Linked DNA regions of Caenorhabditis elegans. The protein of the gene in region 4 purifies or fractionates together with the protein of the main gene of each other region. This does not show direct contact. Each region holds a gene or a part of one and is shown on either strand. Other genes may lie near its edges.

Region 1 (7,735 bases), on a different chromosome or scaffold from region 4:
ATGGTAGTTCGGAGAGAAGCTCGTCCAATGAAGGTAAATATATAATTTTTGTCTGGCATTGTTCAGATTTCAATATTTTTATTTTCCAGGAAATAACTGCCCCAATCCCATTGAAACAACAAAACCAATTTGCTCTTTTGGGGAGCGATGTCGATTCGGACGATGAAGAAAGTAACGTTCCGACAACAAGTAATTTAGTATCTTCACCTCCAAAAGATTGGTGGAAAGACGAGGAAGAAGGGTGGCAAAAAGTGCAACAAAAAGAGTATGTTGTTGAAGTCGAACGCGATATGACCGAAGATGAGATTGAGGCGGCGAAAAAACTGGATGAAGGTCCCACATGGGAAGATCAATGTGACGAAGATGCACCAGCAACAGAAACCAGTTCAGCTATTGAATCTCCAGCGAAAGAGGAGCCGGTTGCTGAATTACTAGAATAAAACGTATTAGATTTTTTACATGCACTATCACATCAATTTTCGATGTTACTATTCATATCCTCAATTGTACGGTGTAACAGTTTGTTTCAAGTACATTTCCATTGTTTTGAATACTTTAAAATACGGTTTGCTTGTTTTAACTAATGAATAAATATTCTCTGGTGTTTATATTATTTTAATTGCGTTCCTGTGGCCCAGTTATTTCCTGTGAAAATATTTGTTTGAGACTTTAAATTTTAATTGAAAGATGAAAATAGAGAGAAGGCGCCTTAAGGCACGCGGGACTGACAAAGTGTGCAAACACCGCCACGCGAAGACGCACACTTTCGGTTCTTTCACAATTTTTTTGCCCGTTCTTCTCAATCAATTCTTGCTTCTTTTTCCTTTTATCGAAGTAATTCTCGTGTGAAAAACAACTCAAAAAATTCGAATTTTTCAGAAACTGGGTAAAAATGCAGTGCGACGATGTGACTTGGAACATTCTCAACAAGGGACAATGCGCCTACAAAGCGTGGACAAAGCCAAAAATGTTCTGTAAAAATGAAATGAATTTGACTGGTTTGTGCAACAGAGCTTCGTGTCCATTGGCTAACTCACAGTATGCAACAGTTCGTGAGGAGAACGGAGTATGTTACTTGTACGCAAAAGTTGTCGAACGATCTCACTATCCACGTCGTTTATGGGAAAAGACAAAGTTGTCAAAGGATATGAACAAAGCATTGGAACAAATCAGTGATCAACTTCTTCATTGGAGTGAATATGTTAGACACAAGTGCAAAGCTCGTCTCATCCGAATTCATCAATATTTGATCAGAATGCGTAAAATGGCAGTCCGTGGAAAGTAAGTTTAAACTTATAGAAACTGAATTTTGCATAGTATTATTTATTTTCAGCCAGAAGAAACTCATTCCAATTGGACGGAAAGTGGAAAGACGTGAGAAACGTCGTGAAGAGAAGGCACTTGTTGCAGCTAAACTTGATCACGCTATTGAGAAAGAGCTCTTAGCCAGACTTAAGTGAGTTGATATATTAGAAAGTGCACATTTTGAATGAAACAACTTTTAGACAAGGAACATATGGCGATGTTTACAACTTCCGTCAAGAGGCATTCGAACAAATGCTGGAAAACACTGAAAAAGAGTTGGAAGTGGAGCAAGAACTCGAGCAGGACGACGCAGACACGGGTGAGACTCAGTTCGTCGCTGACTTTGATAGTTCCGACGATGAGGATCAGGACATGGAAGACGGAGGTGATGGACATTGGTCACCAGGAGATACTGACAGTGAGAACGAGGATAATTGGCAGCCAGAACAAGAACAAGAGGATTCGGATGAAGATGATGAGGAAGGAGGTGATGAGCCAATGGAAATTGAGGAGCCACCAAAGAAGAAGGTAAAGAAGGAGCCGAAGAAAAAGACTGGGAAGAAAGCTGCTGATGGAAAGAAGAAGAAGCTCAAGAAACGAGCTCATGTTGAGATTGAATACGAAGAAGAAACGGAGCCACGACAAAGGGTCAAGGCATAAAACTTCGCATTCCATTTTGTCTGTTATCGTTATTTTTGTTCTTTTCTTTTATTCGCCCTCTTCCAATTGTGTTGTTGTTATTTGCTTTTTAATTTTTAACTCTTTTACCCAAAAATTCAAATGAAAATTGTTACTTTTCCTTGTTTACTAAAAATTAAACTGATTGGTTTTTTTTCCAATTTTATTTTATTGTTCCAATCACATATTTTTGTACTCTATAAAACCCATTGTTTTCAGAGAAGACCGGGAGGAAGCCATGGATTCGCCGGCGTGGATGTTCACGAAGGCGCTGAGCCATAGACAGAAGGTAATTTTTATTTTTGAAAAGCTTTAGTCGTTTGTGAAATTGGTAGCGTTGTTTTTTAATCTGATTGGAGATTTCGTCTGTTTAAAATGTAGCGAATTATTGCATTTTCAGGTCACCCGCCTCTACAAACGCTGTCTTCGCGAAGTTGACAACTGGTATGGAGGAAACAATCTGGAAGTTCGCTTCCAAAAGTGTATTATCCGTGCTCGATTCGACGCTAACGCTGATGAGGTTGACACCCGTAAGAGCCAGATCCTTCTTGCCGACGGATGCCGTCAATTGTGGGAGAAACGTCATTTCAAGCCTTTCCGTTTTGCTCTCGATCCAGGAGGTTCCAGTTATGATCGTGAACGCGAGTCGCCGGATGAGATTGTCGATTCGGATCAATGGACATTGGCTGAACGTGAACAGTTCCCCTACTACTTCAATACTCGTGAGCAGAGAAAGAAGGAGTTGCTGACTCACTGGGCCAAAATCGAAAAAGCTTGGGATGAGGAGATCGCGTCAATTCAAACCCAACTACCAGCTGCTGCCCCAACTGTTTCCAAATAGGCCACTATGAGGAAGTAATGCGATTGATTTTAAGTAGAACGAGCTCACTCGTAGACCGAATAATTTTGTTTTGTTTTTTATGAATTTAACGTCACTGAACAAATAAATATAGCTGTATTTTCATTGTATATTATCATTTATTATTCATCTGTTTAAATGGTTATTGCTGACCATTTGCATATTTTTTCCAATTTATTTAAATTTCTTCTTGTAAGCTTTAAATTAAACATTTTATTACAGAGATCTATCAGAATGGATGGATCTACAGGGTTCACATGTGTAACATGCCGTGTCGTCTTCGAGACAGCCGAGCTGCAGAGAGATCATTACAAAACCGAATGGCATCGGTACAATCTGAAAAGACAAGCTGCTGAGCTTCCAGCTATAGGAATTGAGCTTTTCAATGAGAAAGCTGCATCGTTCAACCCAACAAAGGTAGGGGAAAAGTTTTCTAATGTTCGCTTAATACTTACTCATTATCAATTTTTCAGCCAGTCGTTGCTGCTTCAGTTGAACCATTGTACTGCAAGGCTTGTCGGAAATCAATCAAATCGGAGAATGCAATGACTGATCACGTAGCTAGCAAAAAGCACAAGGAAAATGAGAAGAAGATTGAGGATGATGTGAAGAAAGGTCCAAAGCAACCAAGAAAGAAGCCAGAGAATTTGCCAAAGAAACCTGAGTCACTAAAGGAACCTGAAAATGATGAAGATGATGACTCGAGTGGATGGGAAACTGACGATGAGGAGGAAGGTGTGGAGGAACTAAATGAGGATGATGCTCTTCCAGTCACATCTTGTCTGTTTTGTCCACAGACAAAGCCTAATATGGATGAAATGCGTACTCATATGAACTTCCATCATGGATTCCAACTTCCAGACAGGCAATACTTGAGCGATGAACTTGGATGCTTAAGCTACTTGGGACTTAAAGTTGGAGCTGGTCGTTGCTGTATCTTCTGCCCAGACGTTAAAGCCAGATACGAATCAGTTCAGAGTTGTCAGCAGCACATGCGAGATAAGCAGCACTGCAAACTCCGCAGAGATCCTGAAAGCATGATTGAGCTCGACGACTACTATGATTACAGTCCGATGTATGATGGAGATGATCAAGATAAGTCAGAACTGTTTGATGATGGATGGTCGCTTACTCTCCCTTCTGGAGCTAAAATTGGACACCGTAACCTTCATCGATATTTCAAACAATACCTTCGCCCAGTTGATGGTACACAGAGACTTGTTTCAAGAGCAGCACTCGATAAAGCAAAGGGATTCTATCCAGCTCTCGCTTGGACTGGAACTACGAGTAAGTTTTATTAGAATTCTATGACATCAAATAGTAGAAATAAAAAGAAATGTAACAAAAATAATATTTCAGCTGTCGCGGCCAAGAAGGTTGCTCGAGACATGAAGTTCGTTGAGCGTTTCCGTCGTCGTTTCGATCTGCGTGTGGCAGTCAAGTCGAACAAGTTGTTCAAGACAAACGGATTCGTCGGAGACAATCATTGACCACTTCATTCCAATTTTTCTGTTCCTGTTTGCTAACCTTGTTGTTTTTGCCGTTACCCCCGTTATGTTGACATTTTTCAATGAATATCCATCTGAAATAATTCGCTTCGATATACCAAAGAGGGATTTGGTAATGATCTGGTTTTCAAATTCAACACAATTCTAATTAGATCAAGTGTTTTGACCAAAATTTTCTTCAAAGGGAGGACCAAGTTATTACGAGCGCAGGTCTCACAACGAACACATTTACTACGGTAATCTTCAACTTTATTCATCATACAACGAAATCTTCCCTATTTAGAATTTAGCTTTTTCTTGGCGTATTCTGAACATTTTTTGCTAAATACGTCGCTTTTGTTAAGCAATTAAAAAATAGAACTATACATTTTCGCTCTCGCCTTCTAAATATTTATTTTTCGAAAACATTTCTTCTTCTTTTGATTGGCTACGGTATGCGAGTCCGCAATAGTCCGTCGCGGTGATTGCACACTTTTATCTTCCGAGAATTTTTTTACAATTTTATTTTCCATTTTCTCATTAATTTTTCCCCGAAAAAAAAAAAGAAAATGCCATGTTTTTGTTTTCAAAAAATTGTCGATATTTTATTTACTCGTAATATCTCTTCCGGGGTGATGAATATTTTGTTTCAGATGGTTAAACTAGATGAGGTAACAAACGAAAAGTGCTTCCCGCGTGGTGGTGGTTCGGACAAGCCAAAACCATTGAACAAATCCAACTCGGACTTTGTAGGAACGAAAGGAGGGCTAAAGGTTTGTTATTATCTCTCTTTTCATTCTAAGTATTCAAGTTTTAGAGAAAGTCCGCAGCCCCAGAACAACACGAGGCCAAGAAAGCTAAAGAAGAATCTAGCTGGATTCCGAAGGTTGAGGAGAACTGCTTCATTGAAGGACTCACAGGTTTTGGGGTAGTTTCTGAGGTTTTCGATGATGGAGTTCTTCTGCATACCGCTGGTACACATACCGTCAAGATTCATGCTTCAGAAGTCTCGAAGAAGTTTACGGAACTTTTCAACGAGGAAAAAATTGAGATTAAGAATGCATTTCAACTCGGCCAGATGGTTCCATTTCGTGTGATTAGTAAGAAGCAAGGTAACGACAAAGGGAAGGTGAAAGGAACTTGCAACCCAGCTCGGCTCAACAAACATCTCTCTCCAAATATGTTGGCTGCCGGTCTCGTTCTTCATACCGCCGTCGTCAGTATTGAGGAGAAGGGTGCTATTCTGGATGTTGGACTTGATCAAATAACAGGATTCATCGAGAAATCGCAATTTCCAGCAGCAGGATTGAAAGAAGGAATGCCACTTATTGTTCGAGTTCTATCTTCCACGTCAAGAGTAGTAAAAGTAACTTCCTTTGTGGAGCAGGACAATTTGAATATGACGTCTTGTGAGAAGCTCCAACTGAACCATTTGATGCCTGGAACAATTCTCGAATGTGAGCCAACAGGAGACGCAGTTACTGCTGGAGTCATTGTAAACATTGGAAATGGCCTGAAAGGAATTCTCCCTCGCCGAAATTTGCCTCCGCGCCTTCGTGAGAATCCGGAGAAGCTCGGGAAAGCCATTAGAGCAATTGTGATGTTCTGTCAACAAAATTCAAAAATCCTTGTACTCAATGCACACCCAGATATTGTTGCTGCCAGTCGTATCGAAAAAAGAACATCGTTTGAAGGAATTTCAATTGGAGACAAAGTCAAGTGCACTGTAATTGATGTACTCCCAACCAAAAGTATGGTGTACTTTGCTCTCCCTGCTATCGATGGAAAAAAGTCATTGGTCACTGCGGTGTCATCTCGAGGACTTTTGGAAAAACCAGATCAAGTTTCTACTGAGTATGAAGTTGGAACGGAAAAGCTGTGTCGAGTCACAGGATTTCGATATGCAGACCGATCGATCACCATTTCAACGAGAAAAGATATTTTGAATCAAAAAATTACAAAATATCAGGTAATTAAAAGTAAAATTAAATATTCCATTTTTATATTTTCAGGATGCAAAGTGTGGAGATGTACTTGATGCTCGTGTTCATCACGTGGCAAAAAGTGGAGTTTACTTCATGGTGTGTAATTTTGTAAAAGCATTTGCTCCTTTGAGCATGCTTTCGGATAAGCCACTTCCTGCGCAAAAAATGAAGAACATCTATAAAGTTGGAACTGAAGTAAAATGTCGTGTATGGCAGATTTGCGACGAGAGAAAAAATTTAATCGTCACATGTCGAGAGTCTATTCTTGGATTGAAAAGTCCGTCCGTCAACAGTGTTCAAGAGTTGGAGATTGGAGTTACTGTTCCATGCGTTATCAGAAAGGTTTTCCCAACGGGAGTTCTTCTTCTCGGAACATTCAATAACATTTGTGGAGTTCTTAGAAAGGAATCCGCCGTTCATTTGCCAGGAACACCGAAGAACAACGATTTTGTAGTTGCTAATGTGGAGAAGATCGAGGACAACCGAGTTGTATTTGTGCTTCGTGACGTTAACCCGAGTGCTGCTGTTGCAAATGGACAAAATTCCGAGAAGAAACTGGTTCAGAGACCGAACCCAGCTGATGGAGGTATATCAATTGGAAAGATCTACAAAGGATCATTGTGTGCCAAGGCAGGAGAGAAAGCAAATGTCACTTTCACCGGTGAAGGAAAGAAAGAAGTTTATGCTTCTGTAGATGATCATCTTCTATCCGATCTTCTTGATGCTCCAATTGGACTAACAAAGAGATTGTTGATTGAGAATAAGGAAGATATTTCAACTATTGTGCCAATGGGTAAAATGGCAGCTATCAACCGAGCCTGTGTGAAAAGATCTGTTGCTAGTTTTGTAAAAGGAATGAAGCTACCAAAGAAGATTGATGAGCTGAAAGTAGGAAAAGTTATTGTCGGAATCGTTGGGCAAGTCATCACGAATGTTGGAGTATTTGTGGAGCTCGTTGGAGGAAGTGGACTTGTTGGAAAGGTTCTGGAAAGAAGTGAGCAATTTTTATACTTTAATGCTTATTTTTATTTTTCCTTGCTTATAGAGAATGCCAAGAACACCAGCGAACTTCTCGAAGTTGGACAAGTCATTGTGGGAACAATTGAGAGCATTGATACAACGAAAAAGAGTTTTCTTATTGATCCATGTGTTAGTTTAACCTAAACTTGTAGTGTAATGAAATTTAAATTTTAGACTGATCTAGAAACTGGCGAGCTGATGCTTAAGAAATATGCTCTTCCACTTTTGGAATCAATTGTTGAAGAAGTGAAATGGCTCGCCGAGCAGTCCAACTATCCAATTCCTGGTTCCAAAGTCAATGGTAAAGTCACCAAAGAATTAGATGATCTGACGCTAGTGGAATTCGAGCACAATGGAAAGAAGATTGCTGGTATTTTACCAAAGATGGTTGATGATAAGAA
Region 2 (8,658 bases), 2.1 Mb from region 4:
CAGTGGAGAGTGCAGAGAAAAATGCATCGATTTGAGGAGAAGAGACGGAGAGGCAAGGAACATGTGAAATACTCGTGTATATTTCGAAGGATTGTGAGACTAGAAATGGGAAGAGTCAGAAAGTGAGAGTGGAAGAGAAGGAAAAGAAATGCGCGAATTGAATGGACGGTACTTTTATGTCTGAGAGATTGTGTGCCAAAAGAGAATTAGAATGAACATAACACAATTTTTGAACCGAACAAACTTTTTTTGGAAAGCGTGGAGGTAGATGTTTTTTTTTAATATCCTAACTTTCGAAATTTCCGGGTGATTTTAAAAAGGCTTTTTGTTTTCTATATTACGAAAAAAACTTAAATTTTTTTAGAAGATAACTTTTTTCAGCAGCATCAAGAATGTCGTTTTAGATTTTTTACAAAAAAAGGAAAAATCTAAAAATTCCCGTTTCCCAATTTTTCGAAAAAAATGTCTCGAAATGTTGATTCTTGTTCAAGTAAAACAAAATTATATGTTTTCTTCTGTTTTTTCATCAAAATAAACTGAAATTTAAGAAGAATTGGATTTTTGTTAATTTTCTAAACCTTCTTCCCGATTCTTAAAAATATCTAAAATTTTCGTTTTTCAATTTTTCAATTATCTCTGAAAAATCGAGAAGTTTTCGATGACACCATAAACAAAATGTTGAATTTTTTGTCAATATCCTAAAAAAACTTTTACGATTTTCCAGAAAAACGTAAAATTTTTCGACGACGCCCTTGACGGCGGCATACAGACTTATTTCTGAGAATGAATTCAAATAGGAAAATCTCAAGAATAATGAGAAAAAGCACAATCTAGACCTGAAAATGCACTTAAAAATGATAAGGTGAGTAAAGGGCAAGAATGTTGATAAGAAATGATGCAGTAATAGTTTTTAAGTGATTAAAACAGCAAAGTATTGTAGGCGTAGCTTTTCTTGAAAACAGATTTATCAAAAAATAAGGAGAACGAACAAAAAACGGGGTATTTTTAATAAACAAAATGTGATAACAGAACAACAAGCGAGTAGTAGGAATAGGTTGGAACAATGATCAGATTGCAAACAAAAATATAGAAGACAACAATATGGAGAAAAACGAAATTTTGAGATAGAGCGAAGATTACTCTTGCATAGCTTCATCATCTTCTGCACTTTCAGCCTCTTTCATCTCCTCGTCATCGAATTTCAAATCATCAAGCATTTCGGCAAGAGTTGGAGCATCTGGATGATCTTCTGCGTCGTCTCCATCAACATTTGGTCCTTTCTCTGCGTCCTGCAATTTATTTGGTTTACAACATTATATCATTCTAATTTTCTCTCACTTTATAAATATTAATCTTCTCTCTCATCAGTGCATCTTCTTCGATATCCTCCATAAATCCTTGGAATTCATCAGCAACTGATGCCGTCTCATTTCCAACAATATTACCATCAACAACCAATCTCTTCAACTTCCATTGACGTTTGGCTGTACGACGAGTTCTATCGAATACCTGAAATTCATAAAATATTGAGTATTCCTCCAAAAACTGTAAAAATACCTTTCTGACAATAATTGCATCCGGAACATTATCAATGTTCATGGCATCGAAAGTTGCATTATTCACATTGCAGTTCTTCATGTCGAATGCTGAATTTTAAAAATGTTTTTCCAAAAAAATTCTAATCAGAAACTTTAGAAGTAAGTAAATAAAGTTATACACAATAATTGAAACTAACCCATAACCAAGTCTCCAGGTGATAACAAGTGTCCAATGTGAGTTCTAGCTGATAGAGATTGAGCATCAGACATTCCAACTTGATCACTTCTCACCAACCATACATCTGCCAATTCGTGTTTCTTACTCACATATCCGTGGCCTGCCTTTCTCTCAAAGTTATTTACAGGTTCCACATCGAGAACGTAGAATTCTGTCAATTGTTTTGGTCCGCAAAGAGAATCGAAAGGCTCTCTCCAGAAATTAGTTCTGTAATATGCCAATTTTCATTTCTTTTCTAGATATTTGTACTTACGCTTGAACATCAACCAACTGCAAATTGTTGGGGTCGATGAGAGTGATGACATTCGAGACACGAAGACAAAGAACGATTTGTGACATATTTCCGTATTGTTGAGCCTGTTTCTTTGGGAGACAAACGATATTGTCTCTGCAGATTGGTACGATTTCAACGCAGAAAGTGTGTTTGTAATCGTATGTGTTGTTTTTGGTATCGTGAGAGACAAGTTCCTGAAATAAGAAAATGTCATAACTGATGGTGAATATAATATGGTGTTTTGCGAACTGACTCGTAAGAATTCAGAGAATAATTTGAAAAAGGGGTGCGCGGCAATTCTACAAAATGATACAGTTTGACATGTTTTTCTAATATGTTTCATCAAAATGTAATGGTAAAATACATAAAAAATAATTGCTTTGCCGGAAAAAATCAGATAAATTATCAACAAAAAAAACAATTCGGGTAGTTTTCAACGTTCAGTAATTTTTTGAGCACTTTCAGTTGTTAATAAAAAGTTATTTTCAGATAAATCAAAACATTTTTTTTACATTTTACTGAAAAATATTGGGAGAGCATGCCCCTCTGGCTCATTTCGTAAAAATGCCGGTCGGCAATTGCTATGCACCCCTGATTTGTAGGCAAACTGATGTCAATTATTTCAGCATCATCGACTTTCACAAACCTGCGCGTAGTGATATTTGCATGGAAGTACAGTCATCAAAAAGTCGACAAATTTTCTCGCTTCTTGTTGTTTCGCAAAGTAAAAATCAATTCCAGTCGGAACAGGCTTGACTCCAGTACATTCTTTGTGAGCGGAGTGTTTGAGGAGAAGTTGTTCCAAATAGAAAAGAGTCTTCTTGAACTCTGCACGTTGACGAACTTGCACACAAGCACGCCAGAAATCTTTGGCTTCAGCACGACGACAATCATCGCACAATTGACTGTGAACGGTAAACTCAACGACGACAGCTTGTTGTAGGATTGTATTAGTGAATACTTCCTTTTGAATTGTGATTTTCACTTTGATACGCTTGGAGTGAGCTTCTGTCCATACAAAGCACGCATCGGTCAGACGAACCTAAATTTTGGATTTTATTGAAAACTGAAGTGATTCCGTGAATGATTTACTTTCGTTAGCATTGGCTTCAACTTTTTCAAGCAAATCGAAAGAAGTTCTTTGGATTCCAGTTCTGCTCTCATCCATGCACTTGGTGGAACAAAGTAACGATCACAAAATTTGCACATGTAAATTGTGCCTGAAATTTGAAAAATTATTATTTCAACAATTTTAGAAAACTCACATTGCCGAGTGATTCCCTCGGTAATATCTACCCTCGAGCGAAGGCATCCACTGCACATATTCGCTGGATTTGGTTCAATCGCAACACCGCATTCGCAGCAAGCGATTAGACCAACTGTCGGTTTTATGTCCAGGGATTGCATTTTGACTGAAAAAAAATATATAATTACTGCAAAATCAAAGCGATCTGCTTGCAAATTCTTCAAAACTACGAATATTGAGGATATCAAAACATTTTTTTAGGAAGAATGGAGAAAAATTGCGAAAGAAGAATGACCCTGCAAACGTGCTCGCCCGAACTTTTCAAGTAAGACATTTGAGCGGATAATTCAAATAAAATATCCAAGCAGGAACAATATAATCCCTTAAAGTTTCTCATTTAAAAAGAGGGTGAAAAGTTTCCTCTTCTTTATTTTAGTTACAAATTCATTCAACAGAAGTTAATAAAGGCGAGAGATGAGGTAAGAGCATGCAATAATAATAATACTAATTGGTATGCAATAAATAAAAAATAAAAATCAATTTTAGCACTATTCAGTTGTGGAAAGTGCACTTCTTTGCATTCGCTTTGCGAGACGAGCCTTTTGAAGTTTGTAGAGAACATTGCCGGTATCGGATTCCTCTCCGCGATGCCTTGTATAGCCGTCGGCAGCGTGTCCAGTACTGACACCGAGAGAATTAATCATTAGACGAGCTGAAAATTATATCTTTAGTTTTTGCGAAAATTTAAAATCATTTAATGACAATTATTCATCAATAATTTTGAGTTGTTTCGTCTTTAAACTTAGTTTTAAAAAGAAAATACCATTATTCATAATCCTCTCATCATCATTCTTTGTATTTATCACTGGTGAAACTCCGTATTCGTACAAATTTTTCACTTCTTGGAAAGCTCCTATCATAGTGTTAAGTCGATGGAGAAGCATTCCGAGAGTTTGAACAAAAAGAATAATTAGAAGGAAAACAACAATTCCCATTCCAAGTGGATCTATTTTTAATGGTTCATCGGTTTCCTCGTATTGTCCAGTCATCTCATTCATTTTCGTCCATCGGAAGTTTTCTAGAAAAAAAAAACAAATTTTTTGAATTGACCATAAAGGTAATATTGCTTACTGATTGGCGAGAACTTGATGCTGAGCACATTTTTGTGTTTCTGAATCAAAAAGATGGCAAGAGCAAGAAGAGAATTAACGAGAAGAATAGTGAAAGCAATCTGATTTCGTAGAGAAGCCAATCCTTCGGCGACGGCTTTCATTTCAGCTGGCGTCGTCTTGATCGGTTTCAGATATGCATTGATGAGCTCGTTCCAGAAAACCTTTTCCGCACTTTTCAGTTTTCCTCGTTCACAAACTTTCAAGCTATGACTTGTCATCCACACATAACGGTTTGCCTTCTGAATCTCTTTTTGAGTCTTCTCTACGTTCTCTTCAATCGGAAAATCTGCAGTTTGAGTTTCTTCTTCACGTTTCTCCTTCTCCTCTGTTGCATCGAGAATTTTCTTCACGTCGGCACCACTCTGAAAATAAATTATTAATTTCACATTTCTAAAGTTAAAGATAACCTCAATACTTCTCAAGGCTAGCTCCATTCTCTGCATTTTCTTTTCCATTTTCTCTCGTCTCTCTTCATGTTCCTTCTTCTCCCGACAACTGATTAATCTGAATCCCTTTTTCACAATATCAATCACTCTGTCTATAAATTGTTCCATAGGCGCTTTTTTCGTCTTTTGTCCCGTTGCCTTAGCGACAGCTTCACGAGTTCCCCACGTGATAACGTTGAGATTGATGAGCGAATATAAAGTGAGGAACACATATGTAGATGGAATCATGAGGAAGAATACGACACCATGGATAATATTCGTGAATTCTTTTGGATGAAGACATGCAGCAAAGAAGAAGATTCCGACCATTGTGACAATGAAGAGAGATGTAGGAGCGAGAACAGCTGAAAATTGTCGTAATCAGGATGAAGGGATAATGTAAAAACGCACTCTCGAGAACAATTTGACTGCTGGTAGCGACTAACACAGCCAACATTACGAACGCGTACGCAATCGACATGTACTTGGCATAGATAAGTTGAATATTCGACTCTGTTGTGAAACAAAGAACAATGAAAAATCCTATCGGAATTCCATTATAGAGCATCACATCAGATCCTCGAAGTTCAAAAGCAGCAACTTGGGCGAATACGAGCATAGTGAATATAATGGCAGGTCCGAGCATTGAGAAGAAGATCACAAGGAATTGATAGGCGATGTAGGCATATGAAATGGCGTCATTATTTTCTGAAGCTCTCTTGTAATCCATCAGAAGATCTACTGTATTAGCAATCGACGAAGGAGTCCAGCGTCTACGTTGATTGAAAAATTCTTCGAATCCTTCCGGAGCGTATGTTTCAGCATCAGACGCAGCGGCGTATTCGATACGATATCCTTGTTTCAAAAGCAATGTACTTAACCATCTGTCTTCTCCTTGATCATATTGGACGTAGTGACGTGGTTCGGAAGCGGTCTTAGTATACTTGTGCATGATATTGTCATCCATCAATGCAGATGCACGGAACAATGAGAAACATCCAGGCGCACAAAGGACACAACCGAAAACATGTTCAGCAGCCTTTTGAAACCAATGAGCAATAGCGTACTCAAACTTCTGATACCAAACCATTATACCATTTCCAATTGGGTGAATTCTTCCACAAGCACATCCAATATCACTTTTCGCATTCATCAAGTGGAGAAGACGAAGAAGTGCGTCAGGTTCGAACTTAGAATCTCCATCAATAGCCAGAATAAACGTGTTGTCAGCCATCTGTTGTCTATCTTCAATAGAAAGTGGGCAATCCATGATACGATGACCAAGAAGGTAATACATGTACATAACTTGGCTCCATCGCTTTTTGTGTCGAATCATCTTTTTATCCTTCAAATGTACGAAGAGTAAAGTTCCTGATGGAAGTTTTACAACAAGACGACCACCGTAAGGTGTATTGACGAGAATTCTTGTTTCCATCTTTCCTTCTTCATTTAATCTTTCACCAGTCATTTCATTGAGCAAGTCAAAGAACATGTTGAAGTATTCATTTGGCTGCCTTTTCTCTATTCCATCTTCTTCGACATCTTCCCATGCGTCATCGAAGAAAATGTGACCTTCCAATCGGTATCGAAGTTCATTAGCTTTCTTGTTGTTCATACGTGTCGCATGATCCACATCAAGCTTCAGAATACTACGAAGTACTTGTCGCATCTCGGTTTCTGTTTCATGCCACATGGTTGCACATCCATAAACCGTAGACACTCTGTCAACTTCATCGTTTCGAATTCGTAGCTCATCATTCTCATCCGATATGTCTTCTTCTTCGGTAAGCATAGTTTTTTCTTGCCGATTCAGTGAATGTTGGAATACCACAAGAGATTGCTCGATGCAGAGGCCATTACAGACAGGAGGCATTGAAGAGATGCTAGAAACATAATTATTGAAATATGAAAACAAAATTGCCTCAACTTACATTTCTTCGTTCGTATCAAAGTATCGTTGTCTAACCAATCTCCATCCTCTATAGCATCCTACCAACAACCAAATAAGGCAAATGTAAAAGTCCGGAGATGCGATTCCTCGTGCGCTTTGGAACCATTGATCACACACCCAATGAAGACCAAATCTAGCCAATCGTCGAGCTATTGAACATGTGGGTGATTGGCAAGCATAACGGACGTATCCATAAGCGATGAGAGGAGCAATGGAGAGTGGGTGCACGAAAGAGAACGGATGCAGATCAAGAGCAGCCAAGAAGCGTGAAATCCCTCGCATGACAAAATGGAGAACAATGATTCCGGTGGCTAGTAGAAGAAGCCTCCTGTAATTAGGGAATTAGTATAAATGCTTCAGTTTTTGATATCCTCACGTGTGGGGTTGCCGTGTACTGAAACTAAAGAATGCCTTGACAAAATGAGATGAATTAAGCTTCTTGTGATCGTTAATATAGACAGCAGATACCTGTAAGTACAATTTTTCTTCCAGAAAAAATCAATTATGCTCACCAGAACTGAAACTGTACAAACGATGCGCATGAGGGAAACAATAAGTTTCGTGGTGGTGTTCATCTTCCGTACAGCATATTTGAGCCTGTATAACTCATCAAATGAAGTACCAGAATGCGTTGTGTCAATCCAAGATTCCCAAAAGCCAGCTGAAGTGCAAATTACTCCAATCGGAAGTGCAATTATAGCTGTGAACTTGTTATCAAATAGCGCCCAAACATAACAGCTACTCATGAGAACCAAGAACATAATGACATGTGGAATTGCAACGAAGCATCGGCCGAGACGATTTCGGAATGATCTTCCTGTTCTAGCAGCAGAAACCATTGCTACCAAAGATCTTTGCAACACAGCCACAAGTGGGAAGCATGCGCTGAGAACAAGGCATCTGGCGAGATCCAATTGAGGGAAAACGTGGAAGCTCAGAACGGCGAGTCCGATTGCTCGAAGAGATTCCAGAACAACCACTGACTTGACGAGTTGACCACATTGTCCTTTCCACATATCTATGCCAGAACGTATCAGATTGATAGTATCAGGGAAACACTGAATCAATAGTAGCGACAGATATATTCCCGCAGTTGTTGTAGATGTACGTCGAACTGAAAAAAAAATAATTACGACGTTTTGAGGAAATGAATCTTACCGGCGGCTTTCGTGCATTTCCTGGCGAATTTCCCAATGAGATGAGCTCGAGGGACGATGTTAGTAGCCATGATCAATACGATGAGTTTCGAAAAAACTGATCCAAGTGTTAATACTATATTACAAAGTGCGAAAAGAAGTAGCTGAAAATAATTTTTTAAAGTCATTTTTAGAAATTATCGTTTTATTACCTTTGTCGCCTGTAAAACTGTGACCATCCATGGCGAAAGGGTCGGTCCATCAGTGGCAGATCTTTTGTGCGATCGAAACGCATTCCAATAGTTTTCCCCATCGTTCATCCTGGTAACGAACGAAGAGGAAATGGCGAAAAACGGGTGATCACACCCAGACTCGAGGTGAATTCGCGCTTGCTGTTTCGTTGATTGATAAACGTAGTTTGAACCAGAGCTGAAATCCAAATAAAAAGGTCAAATCGACTGAAAATGTTCTCGAAATGGGACTGTTTACAAAAGAAAAATTTCGCGCGAAAAAAGTGAATTTCGAAGCAACCTCCAGCTTTCGCTGCAAGACCCACTCGTAACCCTACATGTCTCTTGAAGTAGTACGGTAGTCATTTTTTATAAAAACAGGTCTACTCAGTCTTCATAAGCGTTAAATCATTGGAGAAGGGATTCATTTTTTCCTGAATGTCATTTA
Region 3 (7,115 bases), 1.3 Mb from region 4:
AAATTCCTCTTTGTATCGTAAGCATTTGCGTATGTGATCTGAAATTAATAACTTTCAAGAAAACATTAGAGCTTTTGGAATTTAATTTTGTTAATCAATACTTTAAGGGAAGTGAGTACTTTCAAATGTTGATTATTCTGAACTTTCAGAAGATTATCGGAAAGGCTGATTTTTGAATTCTTTGCCGGAAATCTATGGTTTCGAATTCCGATTTTTTGAGATATTTTTGTTTTTTTATTTTAAAAAACATATGGTCATACATTTTGCTTTGCATTCTGAACATTCCTTCAACGGTTCATCGTCTGCTTTTTGATCTTCTTTGCAGAATGAACATACTGGCAGTGCTACCTCGCCGCTGGAAAATTACATTTCAAAAATACCTTTACCAATTTTTGATATAGAAATCTCACTGTTTCAAAGTTCTTCGCCTCCGCGTATTATCTTCTTCGGCGGTTTCAGTTGAATCTAATCGATTTTTTTTCGATAGAGGTTCACTGCTAGACGGCGTGTCATCTGTGGAAGGTTTTCGAAGATTCTGATTGAATATAATTGTTAGAGTAATGTGAAAAATAGTAACTAACTTTTCTTTTTGAACTTGAAGAGCTGGGAGTCTGTTGGTCATCGAGCAGTTGCGTTTTCATGGGAGACATCGCTTTTCCTTCCGGGGAGCTGAAAATTAATGCATTTTTAACAAGAAATTTAATTATTCTTTGAATTTCACAAACCTGTTAGCTTTTGATGTGGGTTTCGTAGAATTTTTCCCCATTTTACGGTTAAAAATCAGGTAAAAAATATTAAAAAAAAAACACTGAAAAATGCGACAAAAAATTTCTCAAGCAAAAGTTTACAGTCGAGCGCACTTGCAGACATCAGCACAGTGCTATTTCGTGGACAGAGAAACATGAGAAGAAACAAGGTAAACTTGAAAGTAAAAGTTGCACTGATCAAAAAACTGAAAATCTAAAAACAAATGTTTTGGACTATTGATTTTTTTATTATTTATAAATTATCTGCTTTAACATTAGCCGGATTTCGGAAGAGAGACTCCAAGAATTCCGGGAAGTTGAGACTTGGAGAAACAGATTTCTCAACTTTTGTACTGGAATTGCATTCATTGGTTTAGTTAATGATGTGAAATTGTGAAAATTTCTAGTTTTCTTCTAAAACTCAACGAATTGATAATTGATGGAGATGTTTATTAATGAAAAGAACGTAGAATTGTACAGATACAAGGAGAAATATAAGATCACATGATTTTATGTTACACAGCAAGAACCAACAAAAGCAGAGTTATTAATATTTCAGCGTTGCAAACTTTTGATGAAACCGAATTTTGTGGAGCAGGAGTTGGAAGTGGTATGTCAGAGCATGCCGTGTTGCAAAATGATGTGTTGCATGCTTTTATAGCTGTTTGAATGGAACCAGCCATTCTGAAAATGTGGAATTAAATTTTAGATTTTGAAATTTAGAAAGTGTACTTACTTATACTGACAATGATTAATATTTGTATACGCAGAATTATCTGGAAAACTCAGAATCGACGTTGTTGCACACGATTTTTTCACTGTTGATTTCGTAGGATCAAGCTGATTTTTGGATCGTACTGAAGTATAAACCATAGTAAAGTTAAATTATGTCAATGATCTTACCAAATGTGCAAAATCGTCCTTGACACGTCCCACCAGAGCAATCATCTGAATTGACGGCACTACATTCAGTGCAGGTTACTGTAACTCGTGTTATTACGGTGGTCTCACCTACGCGTCTACCTGCTGACGTGTCTTGTGTACATTGTGAATTGCATAGATTTCCAGTATTACACACCTTGACATTATATTCAACATCATTTATAACTCTAAAGTTACAGACGTTAGGCACACCGGTGTAGGTACCATCTGGGTATTGAGCATATGCAAGTGCAGAGCAAGATTTACGATAATATGTTTTAGTTGTTCCAACTCGAAGTTGACGCTCTTAAATTGTATAGGTTAAGCTGGAAAATGATATAATCTTACCGAAAATGCAGAAGTTTCCTTCACATGAACCCGTAAAACAATCAGAATCTGAAGATTCACAGTCATAGCATCTCACCAGTGGTTCTGAAAGGTTTCAATTTGACTACTGATCTTTTATAATTTCTAAGTTCTTACGTCTTTGTGGAATAGGCGGGGTTTGACCAGGATTGCAATAATTGTTACAAAGATTCACATCATTGCAAATTTTCACAAAATATCTACTATTTACAGTATTCCTAACTTCACACAATCCAACGCTTGCAACTGTTGTCTCATCATCTAGTTGAATAGTTGGCTCAATTAGACATGATTTTCGAAGATACATTTGATTATTGAATAGGCGACGCTCTACAAATTCTTATTTTATGGCGTTTTTTGAAATAAAATTGCTACTGCACTCCAACGCCAAATAAATAAGTTCAGCCTCGTTAGGCATTGGCGGGAAGTTCGAAAATTCGAATGTTTTCCATAATCTTTGTCAGCTTCCACTCGTTTTCAAGCATTTTTAATTGATTTTACTGCAATAAACTTAACATAAAACCGAAAAACTGCTTGAAATCGGGCGAAGACCTCGAAAATAAGTGAAATTTTTGAATCTACTATTTTTGCCGCCGATACCTAGCGAGACCCAACTTAGGGGGCGGGATCTTCTCATTTGGCATTGGAGCATGATTGCACTGAGCGCATTTTTTACACGTCTCCATATTAAAAAAAACATACCGTAAAGACAGTATGCGCCTTCACAAGTATTCGTCTGACAATCAGTTCCATCATTTGTTGAGCATTCATAACATGTGACAGATCCCAAGAGAGGTGTTGGATTTACTGGTGGAAGTGTTGGTTGTGTTTGTGTCTTACAGTCATTATTACACATATCCTGTGTTGTGCACAATGCCACGTAGTATTGACCCTGACGTGTTGTACGAGTCACACATTGATTCAGGTTAGACATTGTGACTCCGTCATCGAATTGATAAGCTTTTCCCTTTGTGTAACAAGTACGAAGGACATGTGTTATTCCATTAGCAGCATTTAGTTGTTCTTGAAAATATTTTGGGTTTTTCAGAAGTGAATGGTCTCTCAAAAATATCGAAATTTTATAAATTTTATAATTAATTTTGGAAAATAAAATTATTGGAATTATTTTTTTTTCTAAATTATGTTACTGCATTTACATTTATTTAATGAATTTTGATTAATACCGTATAAGCAAACGTCAGATTCACAATCCGGTGCATTTACACATGCTTGACCATTATAACTGTAACAACTTCGACATCGAATCGCCTCCGAAAAAAGAAATGCGAAATTTAGTAAAAATAAAAAACGGAGCATCTTCAGGAAAGAATAGGAATAGTTTCGTTTCGAGACTGTGAAGTGGCGCTTGTGAGAAGATTAAAAAACGCTTGGAGGTTACAAATGTTTGCCCAAATATCTACTCATCATTCGCGCATGATACAGCTCTGGAACAAGGAGTGGCTGTGTTATTTGGTGAAAAGATTATCTTCGGATGACTCCGCTTTTGGCAATGTGTGCGAACTTGACGTGCACTTAAACTCTAACAAGTTGAAATTTATCATAAATATTTGCAGATATATTTATTTTTTGTGATTCCAGTTTATATCTAGTTTAGCAGCTTTCTTGGGTGTTGAAATTGTGTAACAACTTTTGAAATAAAAAACAAATTAATATATTAAACTTTATTCATTAAAATTTGTTTTTGTCACTTGTTTCATTGAAATTTAATTTAAAAATGATTCGTTTTTAATTTTAATTAAAAACGATTTTAAAGGCACATGGAATTTGAAGGAGCGTAGCGCATTGCTACCAAGTGGGTCCCGCCACGATTACGACAACCGTAGTCTGCTTATGCAAATTTAGTTTCAATTCCTAAACTTTTTTCGCTTCTTTTCGCGATTTTCGTCGTTTCCAACGGTTTTCCGTTCGTTTTTAATAAATTTTTTACGTATAAAATTAAGTTTTCGTTGAATCCTTCTGAAAACTCTTTAAATTTGTAATCCCCATTGAAATTCAGATCAAAATGTTAAATTTTCGGTTCATTTTTGAAGGAAATGTATCCCCACTAAAATTTTAGCGTTGTTCTTCCTTTTTCAATCCTGAACAATATTTGCGTCAATCATTGCCCACTGACGCTATTCTTTACTCCGTGTCTGCACCCTCCTACGAAATTTGTACTTTCTCATTTTCCTTCGAAATTTGCTTATTTTTTGGCCTAAATTTGTTGTTTTCTCATCGATCTTGCTCATTTTTCAGTTTTTCTTTCATTATTAAATCTTGCAGACATGGCTCCGTCATCAAACAAAGTGGGAAAGGCTATCCAAGCCAAGAAAGCTGTCGTCAAGGGAAGCAAGACTAACGTTCGCAAGAACGTTCGTACATCAGTCCACTTCAGACGCCCAAAGACCCTTGTGACTGCCAGAGCTCCAAGGTAAGACGATTCTAATAAAAATCGATTATTAATACAGATTTTTATAGATATGCCCGCAAGTCTGCTCCAGCCAGAGACAAGCTCGATAGCTTCGCTGTCATCAAGGCTCCACACACCACCGAGAGCTCCATGAAGAAGATCGAAGACCACAACACCCTTGTCTTCATTGTTGACGAGAAGGCCAACAAGCATCACATCAAGAGAGCCGTCCATGCCCTTTACAACGTCAAGGCTGTTAAGGTATGTTCCTAATTATCAGTTCACGTAATATTTCAAATTTACAGGTCAACACCCTGATTACTCCACTCCAACAGAAGAAAGCTTACGTTCGATTGGCTTCGGACTACGATGCTCTTGATGTTGCCAACAAGATCGGATTCATCTAAATCTATTTGTTGTTCATTGTTCGTTACCGTTATGATGAAGATATTCATTAAACGTAGTTGAGCTTTGTGGGAAGCAATCGATTCGATTGCAACGTGCAGATTTGATTCAAAAAGGAAGCAGATTTTATTGTAGTATCAAATACCTCTTCAAGTCTCGGTGACATTCTCATTCTGAGTCGATTTATGTTCGTCGACAGACTCGTTTTGTCTCCGTAAACATCATTCGTAGCCGGACTGTCTAAAATTAGTTTTGAATTGATAAAACGAACAAACTTTATTACGAAAAAATGCGATTATAAAAAGGAACAAATGTCAGTTTGAGTATCTAGTGAGAAATGCGGTGCTTTGAAAAGGATGAATATTGTGAAAACAAATTAGGCGATTAAACCAGGTGGTGATATGATTTTTACTTTGGCAGTTTCATCGCTTCCTGGATGCGGTAAAAGCTGAGAAACGCTTCGTAGTATTTCGACAATTTCGAAGAATCGATACCAATTCTTTCGAAGATGTCATTATGTTTCTCGAATTCTCTAATCATATCCCCCATTGTATAAATTCCGTTTGCATTGAACAACACTGAATCGTGCCCTGCTTTTATAGCGGTGAGGAATCTTCAAAAAAAAGAAATTACGGCAATCTTTATAAATCTTTATAAATACCTTTCAAGTCCTTCAGTTGGCAATATATGGGAGACTACTTGCGTCGGAACCCAAGTGTATCTGGGAACTTTTGCTTCGCGTGCCAGAAATTCGACGACTTTTGTATACTCAGCAGTCGACAGCTGAAATTTATTGTGAATCAAAATTAATTATAATATTGCTTTAAGAGTGAGCTAAAAATACTTACAGTGAGCGTTCTAAACGAATAATTGGTACAGCGACTTCTCTTCATCGACGGAGATTGACAGTTTTCGTGTTCAGTTTCAATCGGAGGAACGCATCCATGAAGACGACTTGCATAACCTGTTACTGGTGGAGTTCTGTGCATCATTGTATAATCATTATTTGGAGAATCACACTCATTCAAAAATCTCTTCCGATTATTACTGTTTGATGGAGATGAATATGAAGTTGATGGTTCCATCTGTAAATTTAAAATCTTATTTCATATTGCGTTGAGAAAATAATTGAATGTCTTGGGAATTAGAGCATATATATTTAAAAAATTAGATCGAAATAAAACATTTCAAAGCTTTGTGGTCGAGCAAACATTACGCATAAAGGAAGTCATTGGGAGATAAGATATCGAATTTCAATTCAGTTTTTGTTCATTCGACGGAAACAAGAAGAAAACGTTTTTCTATAGAAAATTGAAAAGAATCATGATAAATATGGTATATTCTTCTGGCAGAAAATTGATATTTCTACAAGGCATGATTTTGGAAATTGAAGTTATTTACTATTTTCCAAATTCTTTTAAATCATATTCTAGACAAACCTGTGCAGTAGTATTGGTCACGTTGAACATGTTCTCTAGATTGACCTCTTGTTTGATATTTATCGATTCTAGGCTCGCCTTCTTGTAGGCAGGTAACTCGGGAAATCTGAAATCCTTTTGTTTTGCGTCTTCTCGCTCACAGAAATTCTTCCAGTCACGTCGTGGATAGGCAACAATTCGAACTTGTTTGATGTATGCGTGGAGAATTTCGTTTCTGAAATGGTTTTTATTTAGTATATTAAAATGTTTAAAGAGAGATTTTCACTATTAATTTTACTCGATTATAAAGAGCTTTTTCAAAAGAACCAATTCAAAGAGTGAAAACAAATGTTCAAAAAAAAAGATCAACAATTCACAAATGTATTTGATTATGAATAAAGATCAAGCAATAAGTGTTATTAAAAAATTAGCAAAAAATTGATTTGAAACGCGGTAAACATTGCCGCGTTTTTAAATGACTCCAGACTGGCCTAGAATTTTTACATTTCTCTTACACGACCCCCTATCTGGAAATAGTAAGAACAGTAGATGTCGTTTTTAAACTATTTTGGAATAAATATTTTAAATTATTTTGATTATTTGAAAGTAATCTTTGACTTTTTGTTAAGTAGAAAAGAAACACTGTTTCAAGTGAATAGAGGAAGGCATATTTCTTCAACAGTAGGACAGTAGTAGAAAGCTTTTTCAGTATTCTTTTTTCAAATTTGAAATTATGTCTGAATTTACCCATTTTCATCGTCCAAAAAGACCGCAAGGCACATCGTTTTTCGTCGATCATCCAAATCAAGGCACTTCTCTTGACACATGAAGATTATATCAAAATTCGCC
Region 4 (6,981 bases):
TACATAATTTTTTCAACTCAACGTTCATTGCTCACGATATTGAAGAGCCTACCGAGTATGAAAAACCATTCAAACAATCTACCGTACTCATTTTCTAAGACTTTTGCAAAATTTGGTTGACATGCGGTTTCTCTCTCAGGTCAAAGAGCAGACTATCAAAAAGAAAACAATGAAACCGTCCCCCAATTCGACCTGACACAATGATTCCCAAAAACTGATAAAGAATTGTTCTTCCCCTTTCCTTCCACGGAATTCCTCTGACTTTTCACCCCTGTCCCTTCATCATTTTCATTTTCTATTTCGCTATCCATATCACATCATATCATATCAAAACGACACCACGTGACTTTTCCCCCTATTACATTTATAGTTTGTCGCAATACGTTGTTTTATCACTGAATTGATATACATATTTAAATTAATGAGAGAATTTGTTAAATGACTGCCAAACAGTTTTTTCTCGTAGACTTCTTTTCTCGATCAGCAGCCCCCGAAAAGATAGAATCTTTAATGATTGTCCACGCATTTAGACTCCCTTCTTTGATTTTTCTTATCACTTTAGAGTGTCTACATGAAAAATCTCACCCTTTTCGCGGTACAGTATCATTGAAGAAACGTGGAATTAAATACACGAACTTCTATAAGTTTTAAGGAAGGCGGATTTATTCGAATGAGGTCTCGTCGGGAATTTTACGAAAACGATCTGTGTATGCGTCTTTATGTTTACTGTATACCTATAGAAACTTCCGGCTTCTTTTTCTGTGTTTTATAGTTTTTCAAAAACGATAATTACTGGAAACTTCACTTACAATGTTGGGTGTTTTCCGAATTCAACTCGTGACCAAAAATTACAATAAACCAATAAAAAATAAAACTTAATTCATCTACAGTAAACCTAAAAAAGCGCGGCGAGAGTTTGCAAATAAAAACATTCTGTGAATAATCATGTCCAGAGAGAGAAAAAGATGAAATGGGAAACTGAAAGCAGATTTTGATTTAAAAAATTACATTGTAATTTTCTGAAACAAGGTTTCTTAAAGACACACCGATTTTGATATTATTTTCCTTTCTATTAAGATTTTTTTCAAAACAAATTTCTAGCTGTTTTAACGATTTTTCTCGATTTTTGTTAAGAATTTCAATGTGCTTGAGAACAAAAAAATGCAATAGGGAAGTCGAATAAAAGGAAACCTACAGTAAACATTTTTCTCGCGACGAGACCTATCTGAATAAATCCATGCGCCTTCAGGCGGATGTTTCAAAAAACCATCAGAACTATGATAATAGGACTTTCCGCCAAAATATCGGAAGAACAATCTTCAAGATGCAAAAATATTACTACCATATCATATCAGCTTCTTCCATACACAAATAGTGATATAAACAGCCCCCACGCGGTCGTCCTCATCCATCCGTCGACGTCAAAACTTCCTCTACAACGAATAAAAAGAAGAAGAATGTTCTGATCAGTGTGTATGTGTATATATGTCTATGTCATTGAAACCTCTAGGCTATTCAATTTTTATCTCTCCTTCTGTTTCTCCGTGTACCTTGTCTTATAAACTTTCTTTGTTGGGTGATTTCTGAAATTCCAAAATTTTCAGTCCGAATAATGATGGCATTAAGAAGAAGGCGACATGTGGCTCCAGATATAAGAAATAATGCTCACCAGTATATGTGAGATTTTAGCTCATAAATACCTATTTCTTAATTTAATTTCAGGAGAAGCTTGCGGGGGCCAGAGACAAATACGCTTTTTATAGGATATGCTATAAATCATGGAACTGTGGATCCAAGTACACCTGGGGTCTACAATAATCCCAGTACAGTTGTGGTAATTACATTTTTGTGCTCAACTCTTTGCTATTCGATGTAATTCCAGTTCACATTCAACGGAACCTCGTGTCCTGATCATTTTACCGAGTACTTTCATTTCCAAAAGGCCACCATTCCGCATGTTGATCCTGCGCTGATTCGACGAGTCACTCGGTGGATAATTGAAGACTTCAGATCCCATCGTGAAGTGCTCCCTGATTTTATTATTGTGCTCCGAGATCAAGTTCGCGATGATCTACAATCAACGGTACGTTTCCTATTAAAATAACTTTGAACGTTGCATCTTTCAATTTGAACACAACTGCGGCCTTGACCAATAATCTTACCACCACCTAGTATTTCGTTGAAACGCTTTTTCCTGTCCAGTAGTGAATATAACAAGAAATTCCAAAAAATCGTAAATCCAAGTGTATTCACAAAAGCGGGAGTAGAACAACAAGTAACAAATAACAAAAAGTTTAAAAAAAGAAAGAAAATTGGGTACTCAATTGGTCTCCATCGATTCTGCGGTTTTCTTTTCTTTTGCTGCCGCCCTTGTCTTGACACCATCTCTGTTTGCAACTGGAGCACGGATGAGATGCATTTTCTTGTCGACCTTCGCAAGGAGTCCCTTCTTCTGTACAATCTTTCCTGGTTGCAGACGTTTTCTGATCAGGTTACCATATCTGAAAAATAATAGTTGCTTTTTGATATAAATTTATTTTTATTTACCTTTTTGTTTTCAATGCGGAAATCGTTTTGGCAGCTTCAATGGTCTTTTGGAACATGGCTCTTTCATACTTGACAGGCTCATCTCTGCGCTGTTCGAGAAGCTGTGTGGCGTCGTTGATAAGCTCCTTTCCGCGAGCACGACGCGCAGCCTTGGTGAAACGAAGCTTTCTTGGGTTCTTCTTCTTCTTGAACAATTTGTTACATCTGGATCGGCAGAATTTGAACACCTAAACAGATTGATTGAACAGTTCGTAAACTAATTTTATTTTAAATAGTTCTTACTGTGCTATCGTTTCTGACAAACTGGATTCCGTGTCCCGGGTAGATGGGAGACGAGCAAAAGTAGCATTTTTCAATGCGCATTGTTACCTAAAATTGATAAAATAATTTATTAACGCAAAATACGGTGAAATTGGACAGTGAGAACATTGAAAAGTAACAAAATTAGTTTAGAATCAAGAATTGCGAAAAAATAAAAAAGCGATCGCCTTATGCGCAAAGGGAGAGAAAGGCGCCAGCGAGTGTTGCTTGCGCACTTTGCGTCGGTGATAAAAGCGCGGTGATTCAAATTGGAAATCATGTACCAAAGAAGAAATCGTAAGTTTTCAGGTAGAACATCAAGAGTTCACAGCTTTCAAAGAAGAAATATCAACATATATAGAGACTGCATCAAATCTTCCAGAATGGAATCCTCGATTTGCATTTGGATTGGCTCCATGGCGACCAGAAAATACGGAACCACTCGTTTATTTGTTTCAAGATGACGGAATTTTCCAATCAAACGAAGAATTTCAAAACTTAATTGTTAACATGTTTATAACAATTAGAGTTCGTAATCATCGATTTTCTCTTCTTGAACCTCTTTGGAATGCTGAAAACAAAGCTGGACTGTGGACTAAATTTTTTCCCAGTTACGCAGCGTAAGAATATTCGATTTCTTGATAAATCTTTTAATTTTTGATTTTCAGTTTCAGAGAAGCACACAACAATGCTCTACCTCGAATTGCTAACTCTTCTCAATATGATTTTGATACAATCTCGCTCCAACTTCACATTGACCCAGAAGTTTGATATCTAATTCCATTTCCTACAATACAATCTTTGAATTCTCTTAATCATGAAATTATGAAAAATTGAATAAAAAATTTTTAATGAAAAAACAATTGTTTAGAACACGAAAAAAGAATTTGTTTTTAAAAGTACAAAGACAGCCAATGATAATTTCTGAGTTATTTTTGAAAACCGTAGTGTTGTTGGTAAAATGAAAGAGCATCTAGGAGAGTTTAAGAAAGGCAACATGTGAAAAATTAAAAAAAAAAAAAGATGTCAAATGTAGGAGAATGATTATCAGAGTTTTTGTCTTCTTGCTTCCGGTTCTCCCTCATGGAGTTGTTGTTGGTGTATTTGATGATGGCGATGAGCTGCTGCAGCTCTTTTCAAAACTCGGAGAGCGTGATTTACATACCTGAGGAAGCAAAATATATGTTAAGTCTTATAGATTTAGTACGATCAATGCGAATATTGTTTAAAACATTTGTTATACTTACTAAATATCTTAGTAAAACTATTTCAAAATAATTAATTTTTTTATGCAAAAAGTTCGAATATAATACAATTAGGTGTATGCTTCTTTATGTTTCGTTTCATCAATATTAACAAAATTTGATGAAATTTTCGAAAATGTTTGTTTCTAAATATTTTCGATGTTTGTTTAATCTTTTGCTAACTAAAAAAACTAATTAATTGTAAAATTATACAATTTTTTCCACAGTGAATATATGATTGAAGTATCTTTTTTAAAAACAACAAATTAACGTAACTTCCGTAAAAAAGTTTTTTTCCGGATTCAGCCTTGATTTAACCTTTAGAAACTGCCCTGCATTAAAAAAACCAGAAATTCCCAAAAAGATCCAGTTTTTCCAAAAACTTTGACTGAAAATTTTGAAAACGTGCCGAAGATCAAAAAATTTTAATTATGATACTCCGTTTATTTATTTTTTTATAAATTAACTCACTCAATTAAATAGGTTTCAGTGACAGGATTCACCATAGTTTCAACGACATTTTCCGCAGTTCGTAATCCATTCGGCAACGATTTATCTGTTCTTTCTCGCATAAATTTCCACTCTTTTGGCTGAAAAAAAGTAACCAAATTAAAAACTAATATTAATTTCAACATAGATTTGCATCAAAAAATAATGTTTACCCGTCCTTGATTATCAACCAGCAGTGTACATTCGATAATTTTATTATGATACTTTTTGAGAGTTGCCGTTGCTTTCATTGTGCCAAATGGATCGGAAAGATTCTGGACAAATAAATATCCAATCCATTCGGGAAGCATTCCTTCTTTACATTTCCTGCAATTCGATTATTCTCTTGATACCCTTCAATTTCCTCTTTAGAAACTTACTTTTCAACTTTCAGTAGAAAATCAACAGAGTTGTGAGATGGTGGTTTCCACTTCAGAACTTTATCACATCTTCCAGTTTCATACTTCTGTAAAATATCATTCTCAAACACGTTCAAAATTTAATTTTAATTCTCACAGTTTTCTTCGGCTGGAAAATGAGACCATCAATTTCGTGTCCGACATGCTGCACAAATTTCGGTCCAAATAATTTAGCAGTTGCTTCAAGATCATAAAAATCTTTTCTTCTGACAGACATAATCTGGTTCTCGTGCTTCAGGCGTCCAGTTTTGAATGCAGCAGTTCTCATGTCGATAATTTCAGTTTTGATGATTTCAAATCGTTTATAAAATGGCTCTTTCATCACATTAACGCTCTGGAAACGAATAATACATTTTCTTTCCGATTGAAATCAACTTACATTGAATCGCATAATATCATAGATTAACATTCGAGGCTGATCACACATGGCTCCATTGATTTCAACCTGAGAAAACAAATAATTCATTCATAAATTATGAGTTTTCATACCTTATCAATGATGACTTCAGTATCCACAAGGGTTTCCATCAATGGTGCACCATTTTTTGTCACGAAATCAAGATTTTCAATCTCAAAAACCTCGTTATCACGATCAAACGCATAGACATCTCCATCGTTGATATAAATGATGTACCTAAAATTTTAAAAAATCTTTAAATGAAATTTTAAAGAATATTCACTAACCTCATGCCATCAGCTTTCCATGATACCATATATGATTCCTGTTCGAGTAAGTTTATGTTTCCACGGCTCAAAGATACGGGTTGGAGACCCGGAAATCCTTGTTTGTTGTATTTGCAGAGATTTTTAATCTAAAGAAAAAACTATACAGCTAAAGAATTGTGAGAAAATGATATACCTTGGCTTGAAGCATGCTCTTCTTCCCTTCATCTTCACACACTTTAACTCCTCGAATTAATCCGTCCATGAACAATTTCGAATTATCTCCTCCTCCGCTCAATTGATTTCCATTTTGATTATTATTTCCTGAATAAAATTATTTAAACGTTAAGGCTTGAAATTGAAGACAAACCGTTCGTTGCGGGAATTTGTTGGCTTGTCGATGGTCGTCCGTTGTCAATTTGTGTACTCATGCCAATAGACATTTCTCGTTCCCAGTCTGGCTTCTCGGGAGCCAGAATTTTGTCATCTTCTGTGGGATCATATCTTGCAAATAAATCATCGATGTAGTCTTGCTTGTAAATTCCCTTCTGTCGATTTTCAGCAAACTCTCCGATTGCAGCATCGAGACCATATTCCTTAAAAATATCCTGTCAGTTTAAAAAAGATAATCAACTTTTTATTCTCTGAGCTTTTTCTGATTCAAAAAGAAACGTATTTAATTAGACACTTCTCAACAAAATATCATGCGTTGATTCCAATAAATGAGTACATAAATTTTTAGCTTCTCGAAAATTAAACAGTTGGATTGTCATGATGAACTAAACAGTAAATACCTCTACTTGAAATAGGTATGCAGCGATTAAAAATCCTGTTCGATTGAATCCGTGAGTGCAATGCACTCCGACAACACGATCTGGATATTTCTTATGAAATTCTTGAACGAGTTTAATGAAGTTGTCCGTGTCCTCCTGAGTCGGCGACACTCCACGTCCAGCCATTTTCATTTTATGATAGATACATTCGTGTTCGGTAACCTGAACATAATCGTTTTGTTACAAATTTATTTTTTTAATTGAATTTCATACTTCTTCGCGGAAATAATAACGATCAGTGTTTGTGAGGTCGATCCACAACCCAATCTTTTTTCCGTGAAGATGAGGATGTGAAAAAACTTCTGCCGGGTGGAATTGATACCGTCTTTCGGCAATTTGATTGTCATACATTTTACACAGTGGTGTTTTGAATGGGAAAAACAAATTATTGATAAGCTGAAAATGAGAACAATGAACAACCGAAATCTCAGATTTTGCACAGACCGTTCCGGTTTTTGGACAGTGCAGCCATCTATCAGGCAGTCC

The links.
Region 1: the proteins of rsl-24D1 (region 4) and znf-622 fractionate together in Caenorhabditis elegans (co-fractionation; one large-scale study listed by BioGRID). This does not show direct contact.
Region 2: the proteins of rsl-24D1 (region 4) and T25G3.3 fractionate together in Caenorhabditis elegans (co-fractionation; one large-scale study listed by BioGRID). This does not show direct contact.
Region 3: the proteins of rsl-24D1 (region 4) and rpl-23A.2 fractionate together in Caenorhabditis elegans (co-fractionation; one large-scale study listed by BioGRID). This does not show direct contact.

Annotation. Positions count from the first base shown.
Region 1 is NC_003281.10:6,378,570-6,386,304, forward strand, and holds znf-622 (C2H2-type domain-containing protein), read left to right. Parts: upstream 1-3,064; 5' UTR 3,065-3,076; coding exon 3,077-3,259; intron 3,260-3,315; coding exon 3,316-4,129; intron 4,130-4,201; coding exon 4,202-4,332; 3' UTR 4,333-4,427; downstream 4,428-7,735. Other genes in the region: nfx-1 (Transcriptional repressor NF-X1 homolog), read left to right, coding at 1-33, 90-440; C16A3.6 (Protein MAK16 homolog), read left to right, coding at 893-1,281, 1,334-1,456, 1,506-1,965; C16A3.5 (NADH dehydrogenase [ubiquinone] 1 beta subcomplex subunit 9), read left to right, coding at 2,222-2,272, 2,384-2,824; let-716 (rRNA biogenesis protein RRP5), read left to right, coding at 4,983-5,102, 5,147-6,298, 6,342-7,308, 7,360-7,463, 7,509-7,735.
Region 2 is NC_003279.8:7,554,643-7,563,300, reverse strand, and holds T25G3.3 (60S ribosomal export protein NMD3), read right to left. Parts: upstream 3,463-8,658; 5' UTR 3,458-3,462; coding exon 3,316-3,457; intron 3,271-3,315; coding exon 3,143-3,270; intron 3,093-3,142; coding exon 2,697-3,092; intron 2,245-2,696; coding exon 2,030-2,244; intron 1,984-2,029; coding exon 1,736-1,983; intron 1,647-1,735; coding exon 1,558-1,646; intron 1,510-1,557; coding exon 1,339-1,509; intron 1,290-1,338; coding exon 1,137-1,289; 3' UTR 952-1,136; downstream 1-951. Other genes in the region: Chitin synthase chs-1, read right to left, coding at 3,845-4,008, 4,120-4,374, 4,428-4,830, 4,876-5,258, 5,305-6,776, 6,825-7,172, 7,221-7,312, 7,357-7,958 and 2 more.
Region 3 is NC_003279.8:8,326,849-8,333,963, reverse strand, and holds rpl-23A.2 (Large ribosomal subunit protein uL23B), read left to right. Parts: upstream 1-4,316; 5' UTR 4,317-4,318; coding exon 4,319-4,464; intron 4,465-4,511; coding exon 4,512-4,704; intron 4,705-4,748; coding exon 4,749-4,850; 3' UTR 4,851-4,902; downstream 4,903-7,115. Other genes in the region: mys-4 (Histone acetyltransferase), read right to left, coding at 1-38, 261-355, 411-535, 582-669, 726-766; C34B7.1 (UPAR/Ly6 domain-containing protein), read right to left, coding at 1,262-1,430, 1,483-1,603, 1,650-1,727, 1,770-1,973, 2,016-2,099, 2,151-2,363, 2,736-3,056, 3,218-3,350; Transcription factor cep-1, read right to left, coding at 5,257-5,461, 5,510-5,631, 5,697-5,933, 6,288-6,501, 7,014-7,115.
Region 4 is NC_003279.8:9,665,350-9,672,330, reverse strand, and holds rsl-24D1 (putative ribosome biogenesis protein RLP24), read right to left. Parts: upstream 2,917-6,981; 5' UTR 2,911-2,916; coding exon 2,830-2,910; intron 2,775-2,829; coding exon 2,548-2,774; intron 2,502-2,547; coding exon 2,321-2,501; 3' UTR 2,233-2,320; downstream 1-2,232. Other genes in the region: C03D6.1 (Piwi domain-containing protein), read left to right, coding at 1,616-1,677, 1,723-1,834, 1,883-2,083, 3,157-3,467, 3,516-3,618; cel-1 (mRNA guanylyltransferase), read right to left, coding at 3,895-4,012, 4,563-4,681, 4,754-4,907, 4,961-5,046, 5,097-5,333, 5,379-5,444, 5,489-5,633, 5,684-5,811 and 5 more.